4 linked regions of the Stegostoma tigrinum genome follow. The protein of the gene in region 3 purifies or fractionates together with the protein of the main gene of each other region. This does not show direct contact. Links are inferred from orthologs where the notes say so. Each region holds a gene or a part of one and is shown on either strand. Other genes may lie near its edges. The genes, in order: aak1b, ralbp1, ap2s1 and itsn1.

Region 1 (7,073 bases), on a different chromosome or scaffold from region 3:
ACTTTAGTCTTGATAATAAGATTAATTAATGAAGCAATTTTGGGACCATTTATGAGATATCCAGTACATTGGGATTATTGGGTCTGTAATCTTCAGATAGCTGTGTTAATAATAGTAGGATTGCTGGATCAATAACATTGAGTTATAGGATCAGTAACAATGGAATTGCTGGATGGGTACTGAGATTTCTGGATCACTGCTACTGGAATTGAGGCATCGGTCAAACTGAGATTTAAAACATGGTTTTGGGATTGCAGAATCAGTAATGTTGGGAATCCAAACTCAGAACTGGGACTTCAAGATCAGTAATATTGGGAATGTACAATCAGCAATTTTGGAAATATAGGATCAGTGATAATAGAATTGCAGGAAATTGGCATTGCTGGGTCATCACACTTAAAAATGCAAAATCAGTAATATTGGGAGTGTTTGATTATTATAGAGAATGCAGAACACGTGATATTGAGATAGCAGTATTGGGATTTGCACATCATTAATTTTGAAATTTCTGTTTCAGTATTGATGAAATTGCAGGATCTGTTTTGTTGAAATTACAAGACCAGTAACATCAGAACTGCTGGATCATAATATTTAAAATTGCAGGATCAATAATAGAGAGTGCTGGATCAGTCTTGAAAATGCAAGATACATTATACTGAAATCACAGAATTGGGACGGGCACATGATTAATTTTGGAACTGCTGAATCAGTATTGATAACGTTGAAATTATAGCCCATATATAAAAGTAGGATTGCTAGATCACTACTAATGTAAATGCAGGATCAGTAGTAATACTTAGAACGTAAGATTAGAAGTATTGGGATTGCAGGATCAGTAATCGTAGGATTACAGCATCAACAACAGTGTGATTGCTGGATCAGCTATAGTGGGATTGTAAAATCAGTAATAGTAGGTAGGATTACTGGAACAGTAACTGTGGTATGGTGGGATCTCAAAAAGCAAAAATGTTGAAATTCCAGGATCTGTAATAGTGGGATTGCAAGGTCAGAAATATTGATATTGCTGCTGATTTGTAATCTTGATATTGCTGGATCATTAAAGTAGGATAGCTGGATGTGAAATAATGTGAATATCAGATAATTAATGTTATAAATGTAGGATGACTAGTTTCAACTTGAGGGATAGTTGATGCTAAATTTGCTGGATCAGCAAATGTGGGATTGCAGGATCATTAACAGTGGGAATGCTGGATCACTGATGTTGAAATGGCAGGATCCACAATGTTGGGGTTCTGGGTCAGCAACAGTCAGACTGCAGGATCACTAACACTAGGAATGCTGGGTGTTGAAATGGCAGGATCTATAATGTTGGAAATTGCTGGATCAGTAGCACTGGGAATACCGGATGTTGAAATGGCAGGATCCGAAATATTGGGATCGCTGGATAATCGATGCCAAAATTGCTGAATCGGCAACAGTGGAATGGCAGGATCAGTAATTTTGAAATGGCAGGATCAGTAAGGCTGGGAATGCTGGATCACTGATGCTGAAATGGCAGGATCAGTAGCATTGGGAATGCTGGATCACTGATGCTGAAATGGCAGGATCAGTAACACTGGGAATGCTGGATCACTGATGCTGAAATGGCAGGATCAGTAGCATTGGGAATGCTGGATCACTGATGCTGAAATGGCAGGATCAGTAACACTGGGAATGCTGGATCACTGATGCTGAAATGGCAGGATCAGTAACACTGGGAATGCTGGATCACTGATGCTGAAATGGCAGGATCAGTAACATTGGGAATGCTGGATCACTGATGCTGAAATGGCAGGATCAGTAACACTGGAAATGCTGGATCACTGATGCTGAAATGGCAGGATCAGTAACACTGGGAATGCTGGATCACTGATGCTGAAATGGCAGGATCAGTAACATTAGGAATGCTGGATCACTGATGCTGAAATGGCAGGATCAGTAACACTGGAAATGCTGGATCACTGATGCTGAAATGGCAGGATCAGTAACACTGGGAATGCTGGATCACTGATGCTGAAATGGCAGGATCAGTAACACTGGAAATGCTGGATCACTGATGCTGAAATGGCAGGATCAGTAACACTGGGAATGCTGGATCACTGATGCTGAAATGGCAGGATCAGTAACACTGGAAATGCTGGATCACTGATGCTGAAATGGCAGGATCAGTAACACTGGAAATGCTGGATCACTGATGCTGAAATGGCAGGATCAGTAACACTGGGAATGCTGGATCACTGATGCTGAAATGGCAGGATCAGTAACATTAGGAATGCTGGACCTGTAACTAGAGTCGCAGATTTTCAGTATCAGTAATATTGGGGTGGCGGGCTTAGTATCATTGGGGATGCTGGATCACCGGTGCTGAAGGGGCAGAGCCATCCCTCAACACTTGTCAACGCCACGGCTCCCTGCCTCCATCCCCCACGGTCCATGGCCGCTCCTCACCTTCAGCCACCACCTCCTCCACAGTGACCTGCTGCCGGCCCACACTGAACACCCGGCCGATGAAGCCGCTGCCGGGGCATAAGCCGCCGCCCCCGCCGCTGCTGCCGCCTCCTCCTCCTCCACCTCCACCGCCGCCGCCGCCGCCTCCCGAACCCGAGCCCGCCGCCTCCCGCCGGGAGTCGAAGAATTTCTTCATCACTCGGCGATCACTCTCTGTCTCTGTCTCTGTCTCTGTCTGTGTCCGCCCCGCCACCGACCCGCGCGGCCGGGCAAAATAGAACAATCTCGATATATATATTTTTTAAATGTACGTGGTGTCACGGTAATAACGGCAACGAAAATGATAGTCGATCGAGCGACCGAGGGTTTAAAAACCGGGCCTTGCTTCCACCGCCGAGCCGGCCCGGTAACTGGGCTGGAGGGGGTGGGGGTGGTAAAGTGAAGAGACGGGGAGGGAATAACGGGGCGGACCAGAAAAAACAACCGGCTCCCTTTTTTTTCTTGTCGTTAACGCCGACATGAAAGCCGGACCCAAAGAAGGGAGACACAACGCGCCGTGACCCGGATGCGCAGCTGATTGGTTCGATCTCCTCCTTCTTTCTCCTCCCCCCGCCCCTCGGAACGGACCCGGAGTCCCGGCCGAACGGAAAAGACGTCGTTAAATGTTAGAAGAAACAAATCAAAATCTCGTTCGTTGTAAGGGGGCGGGGGGGAAGGTAAGAAAATATCGGCGGAATCCTTTTAACTGTTTATTTTTCAGGAGTTTGTACGCATGCGTGTGGGATTTGACGGTGGTGCGGAATGTTATGAAGAGGCCTGACGGAGATTGTAGTTTATAAAGTCAAGGTTGGATGAGCCAAAGGCTGGCGACTGTACTACAGTTCCCAGAGCACTTTGCGGCCACGCATGACTTCCGGCCTCGGGCGGGGCTCCAATTCCCGGCATTCGTTGCCCGTTGTCAGTTGCCGGGCTCGACGGTTTTCTCCTCAGCGAGTGGGCAGCAGGTCAGATTTGGGAATTGTTAAAATTATCACCGTAGAAAAAAAAACTTGGATATTCTAAATACACATTCAACTCTGATGAAGGGTCCAGGCCCGAAACGTCAGCTTTTGTGCTCCTGAGATGCTACTGGGCCTGCTGTGTTCATCCAGCCTCACATTTTGTTATCTTCAACTCTCTACATACGGCTTTGCTCTGTAAATTACTCAGTTGGAAAACCCAACGAGTGGTTCATCGATGATAAAAATTACACGGGTGATTTAGCGAGGGCGACCAAACCCTTTCATTTTAAAGAGTACTTCTGAAATGATGAAAAAATAAGTTAAAAATATGCATCTGTGCTTTGGATGTAAAGTCATTGGGGGAAAAGTTGACATTGGGTGGTTAATTGGTTTAAAACAAAACAAAACAAAACCGGTTCGGGGAGTCAACCTGCACAATGGTGTTAAAGAGCAAAGACACTTTTGGATATCACTAAAAACAAAATGGGCTTTGCATGTAAGTTAACAGGGAGAAATGATTTACTCGTGATGAATAGATGAAAAAAAAGCACGGGTGCCTTACAGACAATAGGTGCTGGAGTAGGCCATTCGGCCCTTAGAGCCAGCACCACCATTCATTATAATCATGGCTGATCATCCACAATCAGTATCCTGTTCCTGCCTTATCCCCATAACCCTTGATTCCACTATCTTTAACAGCTCTATCCATCTCTTTCTTGAAAGTATCCGGAGAGTTGGCCTCCACTGCCTTCTGGGGCAGAGCATTCCATATATCCACCACTCTCTCTGGGTGAAGAAGTTGTTCCTCAACTCTGTTCTAAATGGCCTACCCCTTATTTTTAAACTGTGTCCTCTGGTTCTGGACTCGCCCATCAGCGGAAACATGCTTCCAGCCTCCAGAGTGTCCAATCCCTTAATAATCTTATACGTTTCAATCAGATCCCCTCTCATCCTTCTAAACTCAAGTGTATACAAGCCCAGTCGCTCCGATCTTTCAACATATGATAGTCCCGTCATTCCGGGAATTGACCTTGTGAACCCACGCTGCACTCCCTCAATAGCAAGAATGTCCTTCCTCAACTGCACACAGTACTCCAGGTGCAGTCTCATCAGGGCCCTGTACAGCTGCAGAAGGACCTCTTTGTTCCTATACACAATTCCTCTTGTTATGAAGGCCAGCATGCCATTAGCTTTCTTCACTTCCTGCTGTACCTGCATGCTTGCTTTCATTGACTGATGTAAAGAACACCTAGATCTCATTGTACTTCTCCTTTACCTAACTTGACTCCATGTAGATAGTAATCTGCCTTCCTGTTCTTGCCACCAAAGTGTATAACCACACATTTATCCACATTAAACTGCATCTGCCATGCATCCGTCCACTCACCTAGCCTGTCCAAGTCACCCTGTATTCTCATAACATCCTCCTCACTGCCACCCAGCTTTGTGTCTTCAGCAAATTTGCTAATATTACTTTTAATGCCTTCATCTATATCATTAATGTATATCGTTAACAGCAGCGGTCCCATCACCGAACCCCATGGAACGCCATTGGTCACTGCCTGCCATTCCGAAAGGAACCCATTTATCGCTACTCTTTGCTTCTGTCAGCCAGCCAATTTTCAATCCAAGTCAGTATTTTGCTCCAAATACAATGTGCCCTAATCTTGCTCACCAATATCCTATGTGGGACTTTACCAAAGGCTTTCTGAAAGTCCAGGTACACTACATCCACTGGTTCTCCCTTGTCCATCTTCATAGATACATCCTCAAAAAATTCCAGAAGATTAGTCAAGCACAATTTACCCTTCGTAAATCCATCTCTGACCTATCCTGTTACTGCTATCCAAATCAGTTGTAATTTCATCTTTTGTATTTGACTCCAGCATCTTTTCCACCACTGACGTCAGGCTAACCAGTCTATAATTTCCTCTTTTCTCTCTCCCTCCTTTCAATTTGCCACCCTCCAATCCGCAGGAACTGATACTGAGTCTATAGAACATTGGAAAATAATTACCAATGCGTCCACGATTTCTAGAGCCACCTCCTTAAATACCCTGGGATGCAGACCATTAGGTCCCAGGGACTTATGAGCCTTCAGACCTAACAGTCTGTCCAACACCATTTCCTGCCTAATATAAATTCCCTTCGGCTCATCCATTACCCTAGGTCCTTCAGCCATTATTACATCTAGGAGATTGCTTGCGTCTTGCCTAGTGAAGACGGATCCAAAGTACCTATTCAATTCTTCTGCCATTTCCTTGTTCCCCATAATAAATTCACCCGTTTCTGACTTCAAAGGCCCAATTTTAGTCTTAACCATTTTTTTTCTTTTCACATACCTAAAAAGGCTTTTACTATCCTCCTTTATGTTTTTGGCCAGTTTTCCTTCGTACCTCATTTTTTTCTCTGCGTATTGCCTTTTTAGTTATCTTCTGTTGCTCTTTAAAAGCTTCCCAGTCCTCCAGCTTCCCGCTCATCTTTGCTATGTTATACTTCACTTTTATCTTTATATGGTCCTTAACTTCCCTCATCAGCCACAGCCGCCCCACCTCCCCTTAGGATCTTGCTTCCTCTTTGGAATGAACTGATCCTGCACCTTCTGCATTGTATCCAGAAATACCTGCCATTGTTGTTCCACTGCCATCCCTGCTAGGGTATTGTACCATTGAACTTTGGCCAGCTCCTCCCTCATAGCCCCATAGTTCCCTTTATTTAACTGAAATACTGACACTTCCGATTCTCCCCCTCAAACTGCAGATTAAAACGCATCATATTATGGTCACTACCTCCTACTGGTTCCTTTACTTCGAGGTCCCTGATCAAATCCGGTTCATTGCACAACGCCAGATCCAGAATTGCCTTCTCCCTGGTAGGCTCCAGTACAAGCTGTTCTAAGAATCCATCTCGGAGGCACTCCACAAACTCCCTTTCTTGTGGTCCAGTACCATCCTGACTCTCCCAATCTACCCGCATGTTGAAATCTCCCATAACAACTGTAGTGATACCTTTGTGACAGGCCAATTTCAATTCCTGATTCAACTTGCACCCTACATCCTGACTACTGTTTGGGGGCCTGTAGATAACTCCCATTACGGTCTTTCTAACCTTAGAATTTCTCAGCTCTATCCATACTGACTCTACATCTCCAAATTCTATGTCCCCCCTTGCAAGGGACTGAATATCAGTCCTCACCAATAGGGCCACCCCACCCCCTCTGCCCATCAGTCTGTCCTTTTGATAGCACGTATAGCCTTGAATATTCATTTCCCAGGCCCTGTCCACTTGAAGCCACGTCTCAGTTATCCCCACAACACCGCACTTGCCAATTTCCAACTGAGCCTCGAGCTCATCCGCCTTATTTCTTATGCTTTGTGCATTCATGTGTAATATTTTTAATTTTTACCCTTCCTATCAATCACTATTTCATTTGGCCATACTGTACGATCCCTTGAGTTTTCTGCTCCGTTGATTCTGTTGTCTTTCTTAACTTCTCTTATTCTGACTTTCCCTTTAACTTCATTCTTAAATTTCCAGTTTGTTCCCCCCCCCCCCCCCCCCCCCGCACCACCACCGACTACTTAGTTTAAACACACCTGTGTTGCAGTGGCAAACCTGCCTGCC
Region 2 (7,882 bases), on a different chromosome or scaffold from region 3:
AATAACTTGACTTAAGAATGCGGTGCCAATTTAAGACTGAGATGAGGAGGAATTCCTTCTCTCAGAAGGTTGAGAGTCTTTGGAATTCCTTGCTACAGCAAGCTGTGGGGGCAGACTCCTTGTGTATAGTTAAAGCTGAGGCAGATAGATTCTTGATCAGTAGGAGAATCAAGGGTTAAAAGGGAAAGGCATGAAAATGAACGTGAGGAATGTTGGATCAGCCATGATCCTACTGAATGGAGGAGCAAGCTTGAGGGGCTGAGTGTTCTACTTCTTATGGTCTTATAGAGTTTTTACTGTTTCCTTTTGTATGTCATTTGCACTGAGGATAATTGGATCATTCCAGCTGAGATCAGCTGCTGGGTTGTGTGGTAAAAAATTGGTGCTTTTATTGACTAGATCTGGAGATGATAGTTTTTTAAAACAAAGGCTTCTTGTTCTATTTTGACACAAATACTTATTTCAATGGGCGCTCTGATTCTTCTGTGAAATTATCCAGTCCCTCAGTAATTTTTTGACAAAGCATATTTTCCTCATACTACCCTTCCTTGGCATTGGGTATGGTCATTGCAGTGGGAAGTAAGGAGGTGAATATTTTGATCTTTCCTTCCATGATACACTGCAGCAGAATGTGCAGTTTACTGTTTCCACATTGCAGTCCCTTTCCACACTGCTGATTCCTTCCATGAAATTTAAATCGTTTCCTACCCATTTTAAAGATTCCACTGCTGTGGGTGTAAATGTTTTCCCCAGTGACTTGCTAGCTGACGCCCAAGAAGAGATGAAACTCAGTTACAAATCAGGAAACCATTTCTTATCGAATTTCTTTTCATTTTCTTCATTCTCTCGATGACCAAACACTTTGTTCATGACTGTGAAAGGACATGAAATGTGTTGAAATTAGATGCAGTTTCTTCTTTCGCTTTGAAGCATTAAGATGGCCATGATTAGAGTCTTTCCTCTGATTATCTGAAGTGAATTTCATCATGATTTGGACAGATTACAGAGATGTAGCTGCAGGGAATTCTCTTTTTTTGTTTATTTATTTTGTGGGATGTGGGCATCGCTGACTGGCTAGCATTTCTTACCCATCCCTAGGTGCCCCTTAAGAAGGTGGTGGTGAGCTGTCTTCTTGAAACACTGCAGTCCACCTGCTGTTGGTTGATCACAATGCTATTAGGGAGGGAATTCCAGGATTTTGACCCAACAACGGTGAAGCAACGGCGATATATTTCCAAATCAAGGTGCTGAGTGGCTTGGAGGGGAACTTGGCAGTGTTCCAATATGTCTGCTGCCCTTGTCCTTCTAGATGGAAGTGGTCATGTGTTTGGAAAGTGCTGTCAAAGGATCTTTGATAAATGTGTAGTGTTTCTTGCAGATTGTACACACTGCTGCTACTGAGCATTGGTGGAGGAGGGAGTGAATGCTTGTGTTTCACATCCAAGTGGTCTGCTTTGTCCAGGATGCTGTCAAACTTCTTGAGTGTTCTGGAGCTGCACTCATCCAGGAAAGCGTGGAGTATTCCATCACAGTCCTGACTCGTGCCTTGTAGATGGTGGGCAGGCTTTGGGGAGTTAGGAGGTGAGTTACTCACTGCAGTATTCCTAGCCTCTGACCTGCTCTTGTAGCCACTGTATTTATGTGATGAGTCCAGCTGAGTTTCTGGGCAATGGTAATGCCCTGGATGTTGACAGTGGAGGTTTCAGTGATGGCAAAACCATTCAATGCCAAGGGGCGATGGTTAGATTGTCTCTTATTGGTAATTGTCATAGCCTGGCATTTTTGTGGCACAAATATTACTTGCCACTTGTCAGCCCAAACCTGGATCTGGTCCGGATCTTGTTGCATTTGAACATGGACCGCTTCAGTGTCTGAGGAGTTGCGAATGGTGCTGAACATTGTGCAATCATCGGTGAACATCCCCACATTGGACCTTACGCTGTAGGGAAGGCCATTGATGAAGCAGCTGAAGATGGTCTGGCCTAGGACACTACCCTGAGGAACTCCTGCAGAGATGTCCTGGAGCTGAGATGACTGACCCCCAACAACCATGACCATCTTCCTATGTGTAATGTATGACTCTAACTGTCCCCCGGTACTCACTGACTCCAGTTTTGCTAGGGCTCCTCGATGCCACACTCAGTCGAATGAAGCCTTGATGTCAACGGCTGACACTCCTATGTCACCTCTGGAAGTCCGCTCTTTTGCTCATGTTTGAACCAAAGCTGTAATGAGGTCAAAATGCGAGTGGTCCTGGTAGAATCCAAACTGGGCGTCACTGAGCAGGTTATTGCTGAGCAGGTGCTGCTTGATTGCACTGTTGATGACACATTCCATCACTTTACTGATGATTGACAATAGACTGCTGGGGCAGGAATTGACTGGGTTGGATTTGTCCTGCTTTACACGTACAAGACATACCTGGACAATTATTTACATTGCCGGGTAGATGCCAGTGTTGTAACTGTACTGGAACAGCTTGGCTAGGGGTGCAACAAGTTCTGAAGGACAAGTCTTCAGTACCATTGCTGGAATGTTGTAAGGGTCTGTAGTGTCTAGTATCCAGTGCCTCCAACTGTTTCTTGATATCATGTGGAGTGATTCCAATTGACTGAAGACTGGTATCTGTAATGCTGGGGATGACAGGACAAGGCTGAGAAAAATCATCTACTTAGCACATTTGACTAAAGACTACTCTGAAAGCTTCAGCTGTATCTTTGGCACTGATGGGATTGGCTCTTCCATCATTGAAGATGGGGATATTTGGAGAGCCTCCTCCTCTAGTGAGTTGTTTAATTGTCTACCACCATTCACGACTGGATGTAGCAGGACTGCAGAGCTTAGATCTGATCCATTAGTCGTGGGATCGCTTAGCTCTGTCTACCACATATTGTTTATGCTGTTTGGCATGCATGCAGTCCTGTTTGGTGGTTTCACCAGATTGACACATCATGTTCAGGTATGCCTGGTATGCCCTCCAGCACTCTTCATTGAACCAGGGTTGATCACCTTGCTTGATGGTAATGGTTATGTGGGGGATATGCTGGGCCATGAGGTTACAGATTGTTCTGGAGTAAAATTCTGCTGCTGTTGACGGCCCACAGTGCCTCTATTCTTGAGTTGCTAGATCTGTTTGAAGTCTGTCCCATTTAGCAGTGAAAGTTCCACACAACAGAGAGGTTACTCTCAATTTGAAGGCTGGACTTCATCTCCACAAGTGGTTACTCTTACCGATACTGTTATGGAAAAATGTATCTGAAGCTGGCAGATTGGTAAGGATGAGGTCAAGTGCATTTGTCCTTCTTGTTAGTTTTCTCACCACCTGCTGCAGAGCCAGTCTAGCAGCTATGTCCTTTAGGACCCAGCCAGCAGTGTTGCTGCTACTGAGTCAATCTTGGTGGTAGACATTGAAATCCCCCACCCAGAGTATATCTTGTGCCCTTGCCATCCTCTAAGTGTTGTTCAACATGAAGGAGTACCAATTCAATCAGCTGAGGGAGGACAGTAGGTGGTAATCAGTATGAGGTTTCCTTGCCTGTATTTAACTTGAAGCCATGTGACTTCATGGGATCTAGAGTAAAACTCCCTCCCAACTGTATACCACTGCGCTGGGTCTGTCCTGCCAGTAAGACACGACATATCCAGGGATGGTGATATCTGGTACATTATAAGGTATTATTCTGTGAGTATGACTATGTCAAGCTGTTACTTAACTAGTCTGTGAGACAACTCTACCAATTTTGGCACCAATCCCCAGATGTTAGTGAGGAGGACTTTGCAGGGTCGACATGGCTGTTTCTGCTGTTGTCTTTTCTGTAACCTAGGTCGATGCCAGGTGATCCATCTGGTTTCATTTCTTTGAGACTTTGGAGTGATTGGTACAACTGAATGGCTTACCAGGATATTTCAAAGGGTAACTGAAAGCCAACCACATTGCTGTGGGTCTGAAGTCATATGTAGGCCTGATCAGGTGAGGATGGCAGATTTCCTTCCCTGAAAGGAAAGGAAACGTTCACACCTAGTGAACCAGGTGTGCTTTTTTGACAGTTGACAATGATTTTTAATCAGTAGATTCTTAACTCCAGGTTTTTTTAAAAATTGAATTTAAATTCCACTCTCTGTCATGGTTTCAAAGTGGGTCCACAAAACATTATCCGGGTCTCTGGATTTATTATCTAGCAATAATACCACTAAGCCATCACCTTCGCTTGGATAGGAACTGAACGAGGTGCAACACACAAACTGCTTGCCCTTCCTCTCCTTTTCCCTTCCTCTCCCCTCCCTCTGATGAAGGGTCTAGGCCCGAAACATCAGCTTTCCTGCTCCTCTGATGCTGCTTGGCCTGCTGTGTTCATCCAGCTCCACACCTTGTTCTCTCTAAAACTGCTTGCTTGGACGTTTTGATACATCGAAATGATAACTGTGGGAGGCTGAACACCTCTCTCCCACGCGTTCTGAGGAAAGGTCACCGGACCCGAAACGTTAACTCTGATTTTCTCCTCAAGATGCTGTTAGACCTGCTGAGCTTTTCCAGCAAATTCTGGTTTTTTTTCGTCCCAGGATCCAGTCGAGAAAGGTCACGTGACCGAAGGCTGCAAGACGCTTCGATCTCTGCGCCTGCGCAGCGACGCCCGAGCCGGAGTCCGCACACTGACGCCTGCGCACAGTGGCCCAGCCGGAGCCCGCACGATGACGCCTGCGCAGCGACGCCCGAGCCGGAGCTCGCACGCTGGCGCCTGCGCACAGTGGCCCAGCCGGAGCCCGCACACTGACGCCTGCGCAGCGACGCCCGAGCCGGAGCTCGCACGCTGGCGCTTGCGCAGCGACGCCCGAGCCGGAACTCGCACGCTGGCGCCTGCGCAGCGACGCCGAGCCCTGTGGGCCCCTCCTCTCCCGTCCAGCAGCTGCAGGGCCGCGGCCGGTGGCGGCTTGGTATGTCGCCAAGGATCAGAGCTGCGATTCCTGGATCGGGGCTGCTCTAAGATGAGGTAAAGGTGCAGGATTTATCCTTCATGGAGGCCGGTATTTTTTTCAAATATTGAAGTCCAGAGGTGATGTGAACGGAAGGAGCGAAGACCGTAGATTAGGCCTCGCTGGCATCACCGGCCTTGATTTGGAAAGAAGGCCGTGGCCGGGAGGGAGCAGAAGACCTTGTTGATATAGGATGACTTACCCCGCGGCGATCTTACCCGTACTCCCTTCCCCCAACCCTAGGAGAGGGGCATCCCGATCCCATACAGTTCCCCGGAGCGCTAGCGATACTACTCTGTGGTCCGGGGCGCATTTGTTCCCCTCCCTAGCACCGTGTTATTAATTTCCAGATTAAAACCCCTTCCTATAGAGTCCTCCACCTTATAGCACTCACTATGGCTATCAGCTGCAATCTGGATCCTTTTCTTTACATTTGATGTAACCTTTCCTCCTTCTATCTTCCACCCTAGATACTAAACCAGACTGTTTTAAAGTGGACGGGGGAGAGAAGAGTTTAAATGCACGGTTTTTTTTAACAAATAACCGAACAGAATCCTTGCTATTTACTTCATTTGCACACTGCTGCCGGCTGTTTCACTCGTCTATTTACTTCATAAGTAAAAAGCCAGTTACTCGAAACAGTGTTTTGCAGTTGTGTGTGATGCATGGGGCTGATTTGGGATTCTTGTGATCTGTTTTTCACGCTGCAAATGTAGCTGAAAAATATCTCGTCTTTCCACAGCAGTAAAGAATGAATGACTGACTTGGGGAGGAATGCATTGTTGGTAGAAAAAGAGCCTATTTGACAGTTTCACCGAATATGTAGTGAATTTACTGAAATGTCGCTTCTGACTATTACTGCTGCAGTTCGGTATTGTCAAGTTGGAGTTTGGGGTTAGGATCTTGCAGTCTGTTGAGAGAGTGCCTTGAAATTTATCGTGTTTGGGATCTGAGATGGTATTAGTGCAGTTACTGTTTTGTTGTGTCTCATTAATTGCTAAAAATGAAATGAGTGGCTAAAACAATGGCAGAGTGAGCTCAATCCTAACTAGTTTCACTTAAGATGAGCCTCGACCAGTCTCTGAATGATTTTTGAATTATGTTTTGCTAATGTCCTCAGCACTTCAGGATTTGTTACTTTTTCTATTCAACTAATCTTTTCCAATCACCTTGATTTTTAATGATATATGAAATATGCTTTAGACAAAAATTGTTCTTGTGTGTGATGTTATGATGTGTGTATCAGGCACTATTTTGGAATCTGCTGTGCTAAAGCACTTTAATATTATCACAAGCTGCTACCAGTTGGTTCCTCTGAAGAGTTTGATTCACTTGAATGTTAAGTCTGCTTTGTCACATCGATACTGTCAGACCTGCTGAGTTTCAGTTTTTGTACCATAGATTCCTAACCTGACTGATTTCTGAAACAAACAGAAAATGTCAGAGAAACTCAGCAGGTCTGACAGCATTTGTTGAGAGAGAAACAGAGCTACCATTTTGAACTGGTATGCCATCCGTTATGGCTAATTTTTGATCTTGATTGGTAGAGTGAGCTACATCCCTTTACTCTCTGGTCTGCCCTTTCTAAAACCACCACCTCATTTCTATGCTTCCCCACTGTTAGGTCTTCCAAAACCAAGCCAATTTATAAGAGTACACAGTGATACTCAGCCATGTAAACCTCTCTCCATTGTCTGTAAATTGTCATTGCTTATCTAAGATCCAATATTGGATGAGCAGGAATATTTTTCAATTACTTGGCGAGAAGATTTAAGTCCAGGAGACGGATGTACTTGTGGCCCTAACTGTTCACAATATGTATCATTGATCTGGAGATGTGGACCAAATGTGATATTTCTAAATTTTCAGAGGATACAAAGTTACGTGGGAATATATGTTATGAGGAAGATGTAAAACAGCTTCAGGAGGACTTGCACAGTGAATGGTCAAGAACATGGCAAATGAAAGATAATGTGGAAAAATATGAAGTTATCCAGTTTGGTAGGGAAACCAGCTGTGCAGAATTTAAAAGGTAAGTATTTGGAAAGTGTGGATGTAGAAAGGCTCACCAGATTTGTTCCCAGGATTGTGGAACTGTCCTGTGAAGGGAAATTGAGAAACAGCCTGTATTCTCTAATTTCAAAAAGGGAGATTTGAAATTTGAAATTTGTAACATAGCTAAAGGGATAAACAGTGTCAGTGCACTAAGATGTTTCCCTGGCTGGAGAATCCAGAGTCAGATGGCAGAATTTAAAAAAAAAAGGGGATGCCACTTAGATCCAAGATGAAATTTTTTTAAACTCAATGTTGTTGAATTACAGCAGTACATACTGTTGCCATTGTGTGTCAGTGATGAAAGGATTGAGTATTGAAGATGTTGAATCTGGTGCCATTTGAACAGAATGCTGTCTGAGAATCAAGGATTCTAACTCTTGCTTTCAAATCTATCCATAGCTTGGTCTGTCTTCCTATCTAATCCTATCTAATCTTTCTGTCCTAAAACCTAACTGTACTTTGTTTTAATTAAATCACTTGAACATTGGTGGCTGGGCTTCATCTCCCTAGATTTTAAGTTCTGGAATTCCCATTCCAAACTTGTTTGGCTCTCTACCTTATTTTCTTTTTAAACCTGTGTGTTTGACCAAGCCTTTGGCTATTTGCCTTAATAGCTCCCTGCATGGCTTAAGTGTCACAGTTTGTTTTAGAATGTCTATTGGATGCATGTTGAGATGTTTTATTCAGTGAAAGATGCTATGTAAATTCACTTTAACAAAAAGTTCCTGGAATGGGGCATTTTTGGATAGGTCAGCATTTATTGCCTAGGAACTGACTGGCTTGCTGGACCAATTTAGAGGGTAGTTAAGAGTCAATCATATTGCTGTGGGTCTCGAGTCATACGTTGGTTAGATTA
Region 3 (7,438 bases):
GTGAGCTTTTTTAATCATCAGGATAAGAGATGAGAAAATAAAACTTTTTCATTTTTGAAACCTAGCATTAGCACCAACTGACCCAGCCTGCATCAGCTGTGACTGTAGCAGGACACTTCTAAAGCATTCCCATTCTATGACTCCCTATTGACTGACAGTCAGCTTTGCGCTCTTAGTCTTTGGGAACAAGGTTAAAACTCACCATTCTAACCTGTAATGAGAATACTTAAATTATATTAGACTGAGCAAGACTTGTACTTGTATCTGGAGATAAAAGATAAAGTGGTATTACTTTAACGACAATCCCAAAATATTCTGGAATATAGTTACCCAAGCTGCTGAAGTATATTGCGAAAATGGCCTCCATTTATGAAATATATGTCCCCAGTGTAAATTCAAAATAAATCCAGGTAAAATGAATGATTTTATTCAAAATGTCTTCAGCTATACAAATAAAATTCATACTCCATTCTGAAAAAATTTACAATCTATTATCAAATGCAACCCCATAGCAGATTTAACACTATAGAAAATGTTGCAAGGTCGAATGCCTCTTAAACAGCATGTGGTTGTATCTACACTAAATGGATTTCAGTAGTTCAATGGGGCAGCGCACCACCATCTAAAGGGCAACTGGTGATGTGCAATGCTCAACCAGTAACACCCATACCTCAATTTTTCCTTATAGGACAACTTCTTCATCCCAGGTACCAGATATATCAAACAGTGATTGACCACATCCACTTGAAAAAAACTTGGGAATAGGACATAGCCCAATTTATTCTTAATTTTTGTAACTGGATGGAAGAAAATGCAGAATTGCCCCAGAAATGAGAAGAAATCCAAGGGCAATAATTTGAAAGCAATGTAGATATTCCAACTGAGTGCACATATGGTATGGGACAGAAGACGCAATGCATACAGATCAACTGTAAGCCACATAACAAAAACCCTTTGCCTAGGTCCCATCACATTGACAGAGAATTTAAGATTATAATCATGATTACTTTGCCATTTCAAGGAATGCAAAGGAATTGTGAAGGTAAGAGGTCTGACAATTCCCCAGATGTAGCTTGTTGATCTCTGGTAATTCCTCAGAGGGGATGTTTTCCTTAGGGATAGAGGAAAATCAAATATTTTACTGAAATGCAAAACTACACAATTCCTACATTTGGTCACAGAGCAAGGAAGATGTAGGTTGCCAACATGCTTCATCAGTTTGAAGCTCAAATGCACACTCTCATATATACAGGGGCCCATCCTCTGCAAACAAAAAGAATATGCTCAATGCTTGTGTCGCCTTTGAATTATCTGTAAGATCAGGGAACCTGTCATATCTTCATTGCTTTCTTCATGGCAACACCTGACTGTCAGAATCCACTTTCTATCCAATCAACACCCTTTTCTCTTGAAATATAAATTGCTGTGGCTGCTGTCATTCCTTTGACCTTTCAAATTCTATGCATCTGTCTCCTAAATTGAGGTATCCTTGCCTATGCTTTAAAGTAATTTACACATCTTTGTACTGTTTCTAAATCTATTAACTGGTTGTTAATTCAATTACTTGCTTCTTTGTGAAAATAGCAAACACTAGAACTTTTCACGTAATATCATTAGTTTTTCCTACCGAAACATTAAATTTAGTTTATTTCTTGCGAGATACCCTGAACATATGCAGATCCAAAGGAAGTCAAGTTCTTGGTCCTAAAATTTAGAGGTATGGTCCAGTTCCAAAACACTAACTGGTCTTCTTCAGATGCTCTCTCAAGATGATCCATAAAATTGAGAGGGAAAGAAACAAATTTGCATGTCCTCCCTTATTTTATGGAAGCATAACTAAAGTATCAGAACCAAAATAAAAAAACTCAGAATAAATCAATTTTATCATGGACCTGTTAGATAAATTTGTTCCCTAAAAACAAAACCTAATGCACATTTCTAGCATTTGGTATGCATTTCGGATTTACAAAGCAAATGTAAAATCAAAACATTTTCACCCTAACAGGACCATACCCGGGTTTACACTCCATCCAAGGTTCCTTCAATCCTTTCTTCTCTAACCCCCTCAAAAGATTGTCCTATTCCTTTTGTCCTCGCATTTTTATGAACTTCAGTTAAATTATTCTCAGCTATGCCTTATGAAAGTGACACAAACAGAAACTGCTGGCAAAACTCAGCAAGTCTGGCAACATCCCTGGAGAGAAATCTGAATTGTGTCCAGTGACCCTTAGAAACGTGAGTTTAACGTTTTCACCACTCTCTGGGCCAAGTCATTTTCCTGTTGGATTTATCAGTGACCACCTTATCTACATATGGCCCACGTGACCTGGTCTGAGCAATATGTAGAACCATCTTCTCGAAATCTGCCCTGACAAAACCTTTCACATTTATGAAGAACCTTACCAGGTCGTCCAAAGCTTTTTTTCTTCTCTGGAGAAAGCAGCCCCAAACCTGTTCAGTTTTTCCTGATAGTTGAAACCTGTCAATTATGGCTACCACCTTCAAAAAACTGCTCCTTTGAAAATGCAAAAGCTCAATTATACCTGTACCATTTTTGACTTTTACGACATAAAAACACTCAGTGGATGCTTTAAGCAAGGGAAAAGCGACAAGGCCTCTATTTCACGATAAGTATTCACTCTGTGGCTGTAAGATACCAAAGCAAACATTTCAATCCTAAGGTTTGCCTTTTTGAAGAATTACCCACCTTTTGTTAATTCATTTGCGTTATTTTTATAATTTACAGAAAACCCTTCATCGCTGGGCTTACGTTAGGCCTCATCCTACATTCAATCTATTTCGAAATGGGGAAATTAAAAAAAGATCACTACTTACCATTACGACTCTGCTTTTTGGGTGTGGTTTTCTTTTTATAAAAAGCTGTGTTTTATGGGAGTTTATTTCTTTCCCTTTGCCGGGACATATGATATTTTATTTCAGAGGGGACACTTTTTTTTCTCCCTTTCAGTCACCGCTGACTGTCAGAACCCGCAGCCCACCACCGCACATGCGCTAGCCTCACCCAAGGCACGCTGGGGAATGTAGTTCTTTCCATCCGCGCCCGGCCGTTTCCTCCTCTCTTTCCCAATAACACCACAATTCAAATCTATCACAATGCGTCCCTTTTGGAATGCTAAGGAAATATTTTTCACCGGGAGATGTTACTATAAAAACACAAACGAAGTCCCAGGTCACGAAAATGACTCTCAAGTTTGTCTCTTGATTCTAGCCATGTTAATCAAGCCTAGCAGTGACTCATCGACATTTAGATGTCTCACTAATCGAGGAATACGATTGCATTACAATTCATTGTAATGCTGAGTGAATTAAATAATGCAAAAGCTGTATACAGCTAGGGAGATGAGACTACAATTCCCGGCACCCTCGGTCACACCCAACTTCCGATCCGGCGCTGTCGCCTTCCACATCCCTCAGCTCCACCACCACCCTCAGAGCCGCCGGAGGCCTACAACCTAACGTGCTGGATGGACGCCGAACCTGATTGACGTGATCAATGTCCAATGGAATCCGAGTCTCCTTGGAGATTGCCCAATGGAAGCCTAGAGAGGGTAGGCGGGGATTTAAAAAAATGAAATCATCAAGCTTGGTTGGGAAAACAAACGACGATGGTGGAGGAGCGAGGGGGAAGGGGGTGAAAAAATGTACTCATTGTCGTGAGGCCAGTTTTTTAAAGTATTATTTTGAGGGGGATAGTTGAGGCGGCAATTTTGAGTGAAAATCGGGCGGGGCCTATCGAATGGTGTGTGCGGAGGTGGATTTTTGTTGATGTTTGACTAATTGTTTGACGATCGGGAAGGAGGAGGAAAGAAAAATATATTTGTCTCTTGGAGGAGGAGAGATCACCTGACCCATCGAATCACTGCGCCTCCATGGCGGCCTGAGAAGCATCATGGGCGATGTCTACTCCTGGGGGGAATCTAGCAGCAGCAAAGAGAAAAAGTTGTTGAAGGGAACGAGTACGGAAGAAATATCCGCCATTTCTGTCCGGTCATAGATTTGCAAGAGGAACGAGAGCAAAGAGAAAGCAAAAGAGAGGGTTTGGGGAAAAAAACCACATTACTTTAATCCACATACATTCCCTATCCTCCAAATCTGTCCTGTGATTCCTTAGGAAAACAAGATGTCTGCTGACCATAAATTTTAAGATAGACCCAGGAACAAACCTGTGTCTATTATTTGCCTCATCTTGTGGAAAGAAAGCAAAGGTAGGGAGATGTTTTATTTTCTTTCTCATCTCTCACGTTTCCATCTACAATCTCTTTTTCTTCCCATTGAGTGGATCTTTAATTTGTATTCTAAACCTGCTCTTTCTCTCTGATTTTGGCCTCCCAGCATTTATTTCGTTGGAAATATTTCGGGGGAATTTTTGCTGGTGTCTTTTGGTTTGTACATGTATTTTGAGAGCAGTCAATGGAATAAAATTTTTTAGACTACTTGATGTGGTTGAGTAATCCATGTGTCAATACGTGTTGAAGAACTAATTTCATTTTTTCATTGTTAAAACATATAAAAATGAATGACACCTTTCTCTTCCCTGAATGAATGAATTTTAACAATTAGTAGGATTATGTAAGGAAAGTTTAGAAAATGTATCTGTTTCAGACTTTTGTTTGCATTTTACGGTGTTAGTTTTTAATTGCTTGGGCATATTGCTGTCACCTCTAACATGCAGCACCTAGAATAATTTAAAATGCTTTTTGCAGAAAAAAATGTTTGAGCAGCTTCAAGGCAATCTAGTTTTAAGAAAGACTTAAAACTCAATACGTATACAAGTGATAAAGATATAACTGTGTCCGGATAATGGATTATTGATTAATTTTGAATATTAAGTTCTCATTCTATTTATTCCATTCCTAAAAGTTGAGAAGGGTTAGATGCTGAAATAGAAGGAAAAAATTGTTTTGGCTTTTTTTAAAAAAAAGTGAATGGGCTTGTTTCTTTCTCTTTCTGTTTTTTTTTCAGTTAAAGAGCATGTATGTGCTGACATAAAACATAGTACGTTCACGGATGTAGTGATTTCTGCTTTTAATGAGCATGGTGCACTCTGTGTTTAAGCAGTGACTTCAAGTCTACAAACTCTGTCTGAACCCTCCTCCCCCTTTTTGAATATATGTGGAATATGCCTTGACATGTTGGTATCCATTGCGTTAAGCACATGTTTGTGGTATGCATCCAAAAGAGTGACTTCTGGTTTATTATATCGAAGTATACTTTTATGGGCTGGGGTGAGGGGAATTGTTTATGTTCATGATTCAGTGAACTATGGTGGAGGGATTCTCCAGATTGTATTACAAGGCATTAAGAGATCAGAATTGGAGTGATATTATAAACTGAGTTCTTCTGTCCTTTTACAAAGGTTTCTTTAATCCACCCATCTACTGCATTATTTTTAGACAGTGTTGCCAGTAAGATCTAATGGAGTGAGTGTAATTTAGCCCCCTCCAAATTTAATTATAATTTTTCTTGAGCTGACCAACTTATGCTTATCAGTTACCAATTCGCCATCAGTGCCAATAACCTAAGTAACTGTATCAAAACCCCCTCACGATTTTTGAGCTGTTCCATTGATCTTAACATGACAAAATGGAAAATCCTGTGCGTGTAAGGTGCCAGTATGAAAGCTGTAAACTTAATGTAACCAGTTAGGCCCAGGATTCGTGGCTTGTGGTGAGTAAGCCATCCTTAGTCATGATAGTAGCTGCCCTTCTAGGGGGCAGAGGTATATTCAGGTAGTTTCACTGCTGCTTTTCAATGAAACATGGGTGTGCACAGACGTGAGCGAGGAAAGCTTCAAGGTTCAGTTGTGATGATTGCTGTGAATGGATAGGCTGCAGAAGTTCCCTGGCGAGTTTCATGCATCTGGAATGACCTTGTTAGCAGCCGTAGAACCGTGCCCTGTAAGAATTGGAACTGTATATTTAATGAATTAGATTTCATTTATTGATGTTTTTCTATTCTGTTTGCCGTTAACCTCTGGATCCCTTTTTATTTTTGTCGCTTTTAACTTAGAATGTGTCTCTCTCTCTCACTTTTTCTTCCTCCTGCCTCTGAAAAATTACACTGACGAATGTTTATGCAGCAGGAATTGCAGACATGAGCCATCTTCCAATTGCAAGAGGCTCTGTTCCATTCTGAACTATAAATCATTTGTAATCTTCAAAGATCAATCTTGGCATTTTCTCATGTTGATTTCTGTAATGATTTTATCTTGATCTTCATATTTTTAAATTCTTGGAAGTTAGAATGTGAAAAATCAATTAGACCAAATAACCTTGCAGCAGTGTATATAATTTTTGAAAATACTGCAATAAATTAATATGAAGGCCAATGAATTGCTTTAAAAAATCATTCACAGATCAGAATTTTAATCACTATTTGAATTTAAAACAAAGAATTAATGGTAGTTGTTTCTGATGGGTTGCATGAAGACACTCCGCATTACAGCCTGCAGAATTTTCTCCTATATGATTTCTTGATTATCACCTTTTTAGCCAGGAGGGATTGCTACCTGACAAATACGGCATTACCAAGGGACTTGGAAGAGGGTTTAGGTGCAGAAATCAGTGTTGTCTCTTCTGCTGTTTCACCTGCTAAGAATGGATTCCCAGGGGTGGACAGGTCGCCTTCTTGCCTTCGAGGTTTGTGGTGACTGTGACTGAACTTTGCCATGATGATAACACTGCAGTTTGCTACTGTCGCACATCCTATTAATAAAACTACTTTCTTGTATTTCCAAAAATTGAATGTATCCATCTCTATTTCCCACTACCACATTGTTACCACCCACTCACCTCCCATGCATTGCTGCTAAATCACCTAATCTATACCTCCTACCTCAAATTTCATCTGTCTCCTGCTGAGCCCAAAGTCCTCAAATCAACAGCTTAATCCTGATCTTCAGTACTCTTCACAAATAATTGATGTAGAATGTCACAGCGCAAGTCCTTGTCTGTGGACTACTCACAATGTGTGTTCATGTTCAAGTTTGGAGACTGTGTAAAAGAACAGAATTAAATCTGCATATATTATAGGTTAGAACTCCAGCTAGTGAACTGAAAAGTGAGCTAGTAGTTTTTTATTCTGGAGTTTAATACTTGAAACTAAATTTTTTTTGAAGGACTCCATCATTCCCATGTAATATCACTTAACATGATGCCATTTTAAATGTATTGTTGAACCATATGAATTTTTGAGCACTGTATTTCAGATGCATGTAATATTTCCACGCCATCATGCAGGGGAGGTGACGGCCTAGTGGTATTATCACTGGACTGGTAATCCAGAGACCCAGCAGAGCAATGGTCAAGTTTAAGTTCAGTAAAAATCTGGAATTGTGCCTGCTGATTACCAGGCCTACATGTGAGTCCAGGCCCACAGCAATGTGGCTGACTCGCAACTGCCCTTTAGGCAATTAGAG
Region 4 (7,262 bases), on a different chromosome or scaffold from region 3:
GTGCAAATGAAGGCTACAAAACGATGTGTGAAGCAAGGTTAGTAAAATCATTGTGGTGCTTAAGCATTGCAAGTAGTAGGATGGAACTTCGCATTTAACTGAAATGTTTTCAGTTGGCTTTCGGACTTGCAATTTAAAATTGTACTTAGTTCATACGCAAAGATTTGGATTAAATCATAGGATCCCTATAGTGTGGAAGCAGGCCATCCACACGGACCCACCTTTATCCGACCCCTATAACCTATTTCACATGGCTAATCCACCTAACCTGCACATCCCCGCACACAAAAGGCAATTCAGCACAGTCAATCACGTAACCTGCGTGTCTTTGGACTGTGGAAGGAAACCGGTGCAGTCAGAGAGAAATGTGCAAACTCCACACAGACAGTTGCCTGAGACAGTACTTGAACCCAGGTCCCTGGCTCTGAGAGGCAGCGGTGTTAACCTGTGCCACCGTGCAGCCCAAAACTGATTTGATTATCTTCCTGATGTTTACAAAATCAATGCGAGTAAGTGCCAAGAGCTGGAAGACAATGTGGGAAAGTGCAAGCTCTCACAATTTGGTCGGAACAATAGAGGCGTAGACGGATTTGTGTGTGGGGAAATGCTTCAGAAATTTGAAACACAAACGGGTGTGAATTCTACTTCAGGATTCTCTGAAGATTAATACGCAGGTTCACTTGGCAGTTAGAAAGACAAACACAATGTTAGTATTAATTTTAAGACGGCGAGAAAACAAGAGCAGAGGGGTGTTGCTGAGGTTACAGATGGCTCTGGTCAGACCACTTTTGGAATAGTGAACAGCTTTGGGCCCTGTTTGGAAGGTTGGATATGCTGGCCTTGGAGAGGATCCAGAGTTGGTTTACAAAATGATCCCCGTGATGAAGAACTTGTCAATATGAAGAGCAGTTGAGGACCGTGGAGTTTATATAAATGAGGTGGGATCTCATTGAAACTTACAGAATATTGAGACACCCGAATAGAGTGAACGTTGAGATGATGTTTCCATTAGGAGAAACTGGAGCCGAAGGGCACAGCCTCAGACTTAAGGGACGATCCTTTAGAACTGTGATGAGGAGGAAATTCTTCAAAACAGAGACTGGTGAATCTGCGGAATACATTGCTGCAGAAGGCTGTGGTGGCCAAGTCATTTTAAGTCTATTTAAGGCAGGGATAGATAGGTTCTTGATCAGAAAGGGGATCAAAGGTATGGGGAGAAAGCAGGAGAATGGGCAAGAGAAACACATCAGCCATGATCAAATGGTGGAACAGATTCAGCGGGCCACATGGCCTAATTCTGTTGTTATACTTACGGTCTGAAAGAATTTTTCAGTATTAATACTTAAAAAAAACACAAGATTCCTAGGGAAACTTTACTTGGTTCACACAACACTTGAAAATCTCACTTAAAAACATAATTGTAAAATAATGTTTTGTGCACTCTACATTAATTTTATTTGAACTATTAGAAACAAGTATCTTTGTGTTAAAACTCAGAACACTGTATGTCAAAGTTTAGATTTCATAACCTTTTTACCAACATGATAAAGCTTTTCTTTTGCAATTTACTGAATATAACTACATGCAAATAAGCATGCACACAATGTTATCACATGCAAAATAATCTGATTACAGATCTATTCGAAATCATTGCATCAAAATCTTCCAATTTCATTACCACTCAGTCAAAATATTACTATAGAATAAATCATACTGTACAGTTGATTATTTGCTAAGACTTGCCAGGTTACATTGTCAGTTGCATCACCATGATTAATGACCACTGTTCTACATTCTACAAAAATCTCAAGGTGGTTGGCTATTTTGCTGAAAATTCATAATTTATAATCTATTCGATACAACGTTAAAATTTCAGATTCCACTGAAAACAAACAACATCTTCAAAATGACAATCACTACCAAATTTCAACAAACAGCTAGCTTTGCTAACGTTTAGATTGTGTTTCATTAACAGAGAGGATCAGGCTGTTTTAGACCATATGAAAGATTTTTTTTAAGTATTGGAATGGCCGCGAACCGACCGCGAATTTAGAAACCATCCAAACCTTTAATGCTCTTGTTTCATTCGTTTATTCCCTCATCTTCAAATAGCATAAATCAAACAGTAGGCTTGGATTTTTCGTAGTCTGATTTAAATGTGGCTCCATATGTTTCATTAAAACGGCAGAAATATCTACAATACTTCGGGGTTTCAAGCCCTACTCTTCACAATTTCACAAAATAAACGTCCTGTAGCAAATAATACACTTGATATCAAGGATCGGTAATGTGGTAGAAAACGAATACGACCCTCCTTTCTTGTAATGATCCAAAAACACTTGTATCAGATTACACTTATTATTCCCATCTCCCTGTGACCAATCCGCCCTGCAACAGAGGAGCTAGAAAGGGGAAAGGGAGGCAAAGGGAATAAAATAATCTTCACCCCCATTACTCTTAATCAATGCATGGTCCAAACGAAAAGCCAGGTAATTAACGAAAAAAAAATTCACTTCGACTACAACATGCAGCAAATAAGCTCATCAAACTCTCCGCACCTCCCTCCACGGTAACTGACTTTCCTCTTACTTTTAAGGTCTGCCAGCAAAGCGTCTGTTTCAAAAGGCAGATTGCTCAAGGCTGAGCAGCGGTGAGTTACCACAGTGTGTATTAAAGGGAGACATGCCTGCAGCAAGCAGTGCCTGAAATAACAGGAGGCAGTCATCCTTTGGCTGTAGGGAGAGCCATTGCAGGAGCTACAAACCGTGCAGCTTACCTCATCTCGGAAAGCGCCGGCGGAGGGTCGCTCCCCAGCGGCGGCTCCACGGCCTTCACCACCCCCCAAGAGTAGAGATATCCTTTCGATCTGCCGGCTACTGGGTGTGGGTGAGACAAGGAGCCGCCTCTCTCTCTCTTGCGTCTACGTCTGTCTCTCCGCCCGTTGCCTAGTGTCTGAAACTAACGCACTCACTCTTTCTCCTTTCTCTCTCTCCCCGCCCCCCCAAGCCGTACGTTACCCAACGCGCCCGCGCAGCCAAACGGAAACGACTCACCGCAAACTCGTTGACTGACAGGAATAGCGTCCTATCGAAGAACGCGGCGCCGTCCATCCCTGGGTGATCCAATCGGCAAGCGTCCTGTGAAGCTGCTCCTCCCCCTGGAAAATCCGCCTTGCTTGCCCCTCGACCTAACTCGTTGCTTTCCGCAGCGTGGCGGCCCATTTGAGTGACAGCCGTTGTGACCATAGAGAGCGCGCATGTTCATGTCGCCCTGCCGGAAGCAACGAACAGGGTGTGAGCAGGTGGGCGGTGCTTGCTGTTGATGTGTCATCGGGTTAGGTTGACTCCGTGCCCGTGACGACGCTTTGGCTGTGATGGGCGCTTAAGTTATAATTGAAGGTAGACATTTAACTTCACCTGTCACCGCTGCTCCTTTCTCGGTTTTATAAAAGCTCACTACTCCAACCGTATTGAAGCAATTATTAGTGCTATTTTTAAAGCATATGTTTTAAAAGATTAAATAGAGTGGATGGAGTAAGGACCATAGTAGTAAGTATTGTATTTCCCTATCCTGTTTCTATTTGTACACAAAGTATTTAGGTCATTTCTGAAAAAGGGTCCCGATCCGAAACGTCAACTTTCCTTCTCCTCTGATGCTACCTGACCTGTCCCTCCAGCTCCACACTGTTGTCTTGGTCGTAGAATATCCGCAGTGTGGAGACAGGCCATTCGGCCCAACAAGTCCACACCGATTCTCCAAAGAACATCCACCCCATCCCTGTAATCCTGCCTTTCCCATGCCTAATCCGCCTGCTTAATTTACATATCTCTGGACACTATGGTCAATTCAGCATAGCTAATCTACCTAATTTGCACATCTGTGGGAGGAAACGCACGCTGACAGGGGGAGAACTCAACACAGTCGCCCGAGGGTGGAATGGAACTCTCGACCTGGAGCTGTGAAGTAGCAATACTAACGACTGAGCGACCAGCCGCCATGTCGTTTGTTTCAAATTATCAATGCAAAATGTTGTATTCCAAGAACGTTTTTGTTGTATACAATTGCCCATGAAACAATAATTAGTATTCTCAACGTTTCTTGAGACTTTTTTTTTGTACCTGGCCTTTAGTTTCAAGATAAATGTTGTAGCATCATGTAAGTTTTGTTATTTAGCCTGACAATCTAATGTGTAGGTTCTGCATGGCTAAACAAAAAACCTCAAAAAGGCAAATGTTTTTATTTTTCAAACTGCTTGTATTAATTGTTTACTTTCTACAGATAGTGATGAAGGCAAATCCCCATGTTTTCCCCAAATGATGTGATTTATAAGGGTGTCACATTGTTTTATTTTGTCCTGGTGAGACTCTTCAGAGTAATTTGTTCACTTATCATCACATTCGAAACATTATATACGTTAGCAGAGGACTGTGAGGTTGATTCATGAACTTATATGTCTCAGTTATAATGAAAGATTGTTTACCTTGTACATTTCTGAGAAACAGAATGAGAGTGGAATAATAAAGTCCTGGAGAAATATATCAGGTCTGGCAGCATGTTGACTTGATGGTAGGCCACAGAGCATGGCGGTGAGGGGTTGACTTTTGGACTAGAGGCCTGTGACCAGCAGTGCTCCTCCAGGGGTCAGTGCTGGGTTCACTTTTGTTTGTTATTTATACAAATAATTTGGATGAATATTTAGGAGGCATGGTTAGTGAGTTTGAGATGACACCAAAGTTGGTGGTATAGTCGACTGAAGAAGGTTATCTGAAATTACAAAAGCATCTCCGTCAATTGGGCCAATGGGCTGAGGAGTGGCAAATGGAGTTTAATTTGGATAAATGTGAGGTGTTGCATTTCAGTAAGATGAACAAGGGCCCTGGGTTCTGTTTTAGAACATGATTGACCTAGGGGTTCAGGTACATAATTCTTTGAAATTTGCATCATAGGCAGACAAGATAGTTAAGGCATTTAGCAAGCTTGCCTTCATTGCTCAGACCATTGATTATAGGCGTTGGGACATCATGTTGAGGCTGTTGGTGAGGCCACTTTTGGAGGACTGTGTACACTTGTGGTTGGCATGCAATAGGATGGATATTATTAAAGTGGAGAGGGCTCAGAAAAGATTTACCAGGATGTTGTTGGGACTGGAGGCTTTGAGTTACAGGGAAGGCTCGATAGGCTGGGAACTTTTTCCCTGAAGCGTAGGAGGTTGATAGAGGTTTATAAAATCATGAGGGGCTTAGATAAGGTGAATAGCAATGATCTTTCCCCTAGGGTCAGGCAGTTCAAAACTAGGGGGCATATTTTTAAGATGAGAGGAGAAAGATTTAAAAGCGACCTGACGGACAACTTCTCTGCACAGCTGGTGGTTTGTATGTTGAATAAACTGCCAGAGGAAGTGGTAGATGCAGGTAGAGTTAGAATGTTTTAAAAGACATTTGGGGACACACATGAATAAGAAAAGTTTAGAGAGATATGGGCCAAATGCAGGCAAGTGGGTCTAGTTTAAATTTGGAAACTTGGTCGCACAGACAAATTAAAACAAAGGGCCTGTTTTCATGCTGTATTATTCTGTGCAAGCTAAGTGGATTGGCCGTGCTGAATTACCCATAGTGTTCATGGATATGTCGGTTAGGCGCATTAACCATGGGAAATGTAGGGTTACAGCGTAGGGGGTCTGGGTCTGGGTTTGGGTGGGATGCTGTTCAGAGGATCAGTGTGGACTTGTTGGGCCGATTTGCCTGTTTCCACACTGGAAAGATTCTATGACTCTGTATCTGGAAGCAGAAACAGTTAATATTTTGAGTATGATAAAACTTGTCAGAATGGGAGTGGACTTTGACATTGGTGTTCAAGGCCGTCACAGTTAAAGAGAATTTAGATTCCGGGAAATGATTTTGGTAGTTACAGATTTAAGTAGCAGGAATACAACAGGATCTGAAAAGAAACTCTGAAATTTACTCAACTTTGAGTTGGGTGAAACAGAATATTGGTGAAGTTAGTAGAACAGAAAGAAGAAATTGTATTTCTTCAGCAATCAATCCAGTATCTCAGAAGTGCCGTACTAATAAATATTTTTATTCAACTGTTCGGGCATGTTGGAACACATGCCATGCGTAGGTGGAATTTGAACCAGGACCTTCTGGTACAGAGGTCTGGATGCTACCATCACAACTCGGGAGCACTTAGTAGAGCATGATTTTGATGGACTATGGACTCAGCACATTTCTACTACACCACTCTGCTGTCGAAATGATGTTGTTAGAAACTGCGGCAGCCAATTTGTGAATGTAAATACCCATAAGATGGGCTAGTTAGCTTCGATGGCTTGAGAATGGTGCAGAGGCACACCAACATTATCCTACCATTTGAGGATATTCTTGGGGCCTGTGCATCATGATATCAAGGCATAACTTCCAACTCTCTAGCAATGAGAAAGTTGCATAGAGGGAGAGAGAGAGAGATCAGAAGCAGAAATGAAATGATGAACAGACGTAGCTTGAGAGATAGGTATTGGCCAAAACATGGGTGAAATCCAGTAGTTTGTAGTCATTCTTTTAAAAATAGTTTTGTGGCAGTTAGCTGAATTCTGTTATCAGCTGCTACTCACTCAGCTGCCCTAGCTGAAATAAGTGGATGGGTTTTTTGATAGAAATGAACTGTATTCTCTTCAATATCCACCTAAGTTTTTGGGAAACAGGCAAGAAAGTGAATTTGAGGCGAGGATTAGATAAGCCATGATCGAATAATATAGCAGATTCAAGGGACCAAATGGACCCCTCCTGCTGCTATTACTTCATATGTTCACAAATGTATGAAACATTTACCTATCCTTGCTTAGTTGGCTAGCTGCTTTGAATGTGATGGTTTTCCTTGTGATATCGATGTTATATTTGCCCTTTAAATTGCTGCTACGCGCAGTAAAAAAATTTGTTGTCTTTGTCGATGTACATTGACAAAGTGGCCTGTAAATGAGATTAATCTGTGCTCAGTCCTGTGACTGGACTGTAAATGTACTAGCTCTGTTCTTTATCTTGGCAGTTATCCAGAAGAAGCAACATGGAACTAAGGGTATTAATATAACTTTGAATCAGGTGGCAACCATTTAAATATCGTAGTCACAGAAAAACATGATCAAGTTGAACGGAGAGGCATATAATTCCATGAAGATGGACAAATCAGAAAATTGGCCTGAATGTAAAAACCAGCAACAAGTGACTTAAAAGAACTAAAGAGAGAATGTAGAATATGAAAGATTACCT

The links.
Region 1: the proteins of ap2s1 (region 3) and aak1b purify together in Homo sapiens (affinity purification with mass spectrometry; 4 studies listed by BioGRID and IntAct, counting the BioPlex papers as one, with this or other methods). This does not show direct contact. The link is inferred for Stegostoma tigrinum from reciprocal best matches to the Homo sapiens genes AP2S1 and AAK1.
Region 2: the proteins of ap2s1 (region 3) and ralbp1 purify together in Homo sapiens (co-immunoprecipitation; 3 studies listed by BioGRID and IntAct, counting the BioPlex papers as one, with this or other methods). This does not show direct contact. The link is inferred for Stegostoma tigrinum from reciprocal best matches to the Homo sapiens genes AP2S1 and RALBP1.
Region 4: the proteins of ap2s1 (region 3) and itsn1 purify together in Homo sapiens (co-immunoprecipitation; 3 studies listed by BioGRID and IntAct, counting the BioPlex papers as one, with this or other methods). This does not show direct contact. The link is inferred for Stegostoma tigrinum from reciprocal best matches to the Homo sapiens genes AP2S1 and ITSN1.

The regions. Positions count from the first base shown.
Region 1 is NC_081393.1:6,533,631-6,540,703, forward strand, and holds the start of aak1b (AP2-associated protein kinase 1), read right to left. Parts: upstream 3,010-7,073; 5' UTR 2,645-3,009; coding exon 2,449-2,644; intron 1-2,448.
Region 2 is NC_081358.1:114,693,917-114,701,798, forward strand, and holds the start of ralbp1 (ralA-binding protein 1), read left to right. Parts: upstream 1-4,872; 5' UTR 4,873-4,988; intron 4,989-7,882. UniProt on the Homo sapiens protein: Multifunctional protein that functions as a downstream effector of RALA and RALB. As a GTPase-activating protein/GAP can inactivate CDC42 and RAC1 by stimulating their GTPase activity.
Region 3 is NC_081392.1:11,809,189-11,816,626, reverse strand, and holds the start of ap2s1 (AP-2 complex subunit sigma), read right to left. Parts: upstream 3,021-7,438; 5' UTR 2,839-3,020; coding exon 2,836-2,838; intron 1-2,835. UniProt on the Homo sapiens protein: Component of the adaptor protein complex 2 (AP-2). Adaptor protein complexes function in protein transport via transport vesicles in different membrane traffic pathways.
Region 4 is NC_081365.1:20,945,887-20,953,148, reverse strand, and holds the start of itsn1 (intersectin-1), read right to left. Parts: upstream 3,021-7,262; 5' UTR 2,777-3,020; intron 2,667-2,776; exon of another isoform or gene 2,590-2,666; intron 1-2,589. UniProt on the Homo sapiens protein: Adapter protein that provides a link between the endocytic membrane traffic and the actin assembly machinery. Acts as a guanine nucleotide exchange factor (GEF) for CDC42, and thereby stimulates actin nucleation mediated by WASL and the ARP2/3 complex.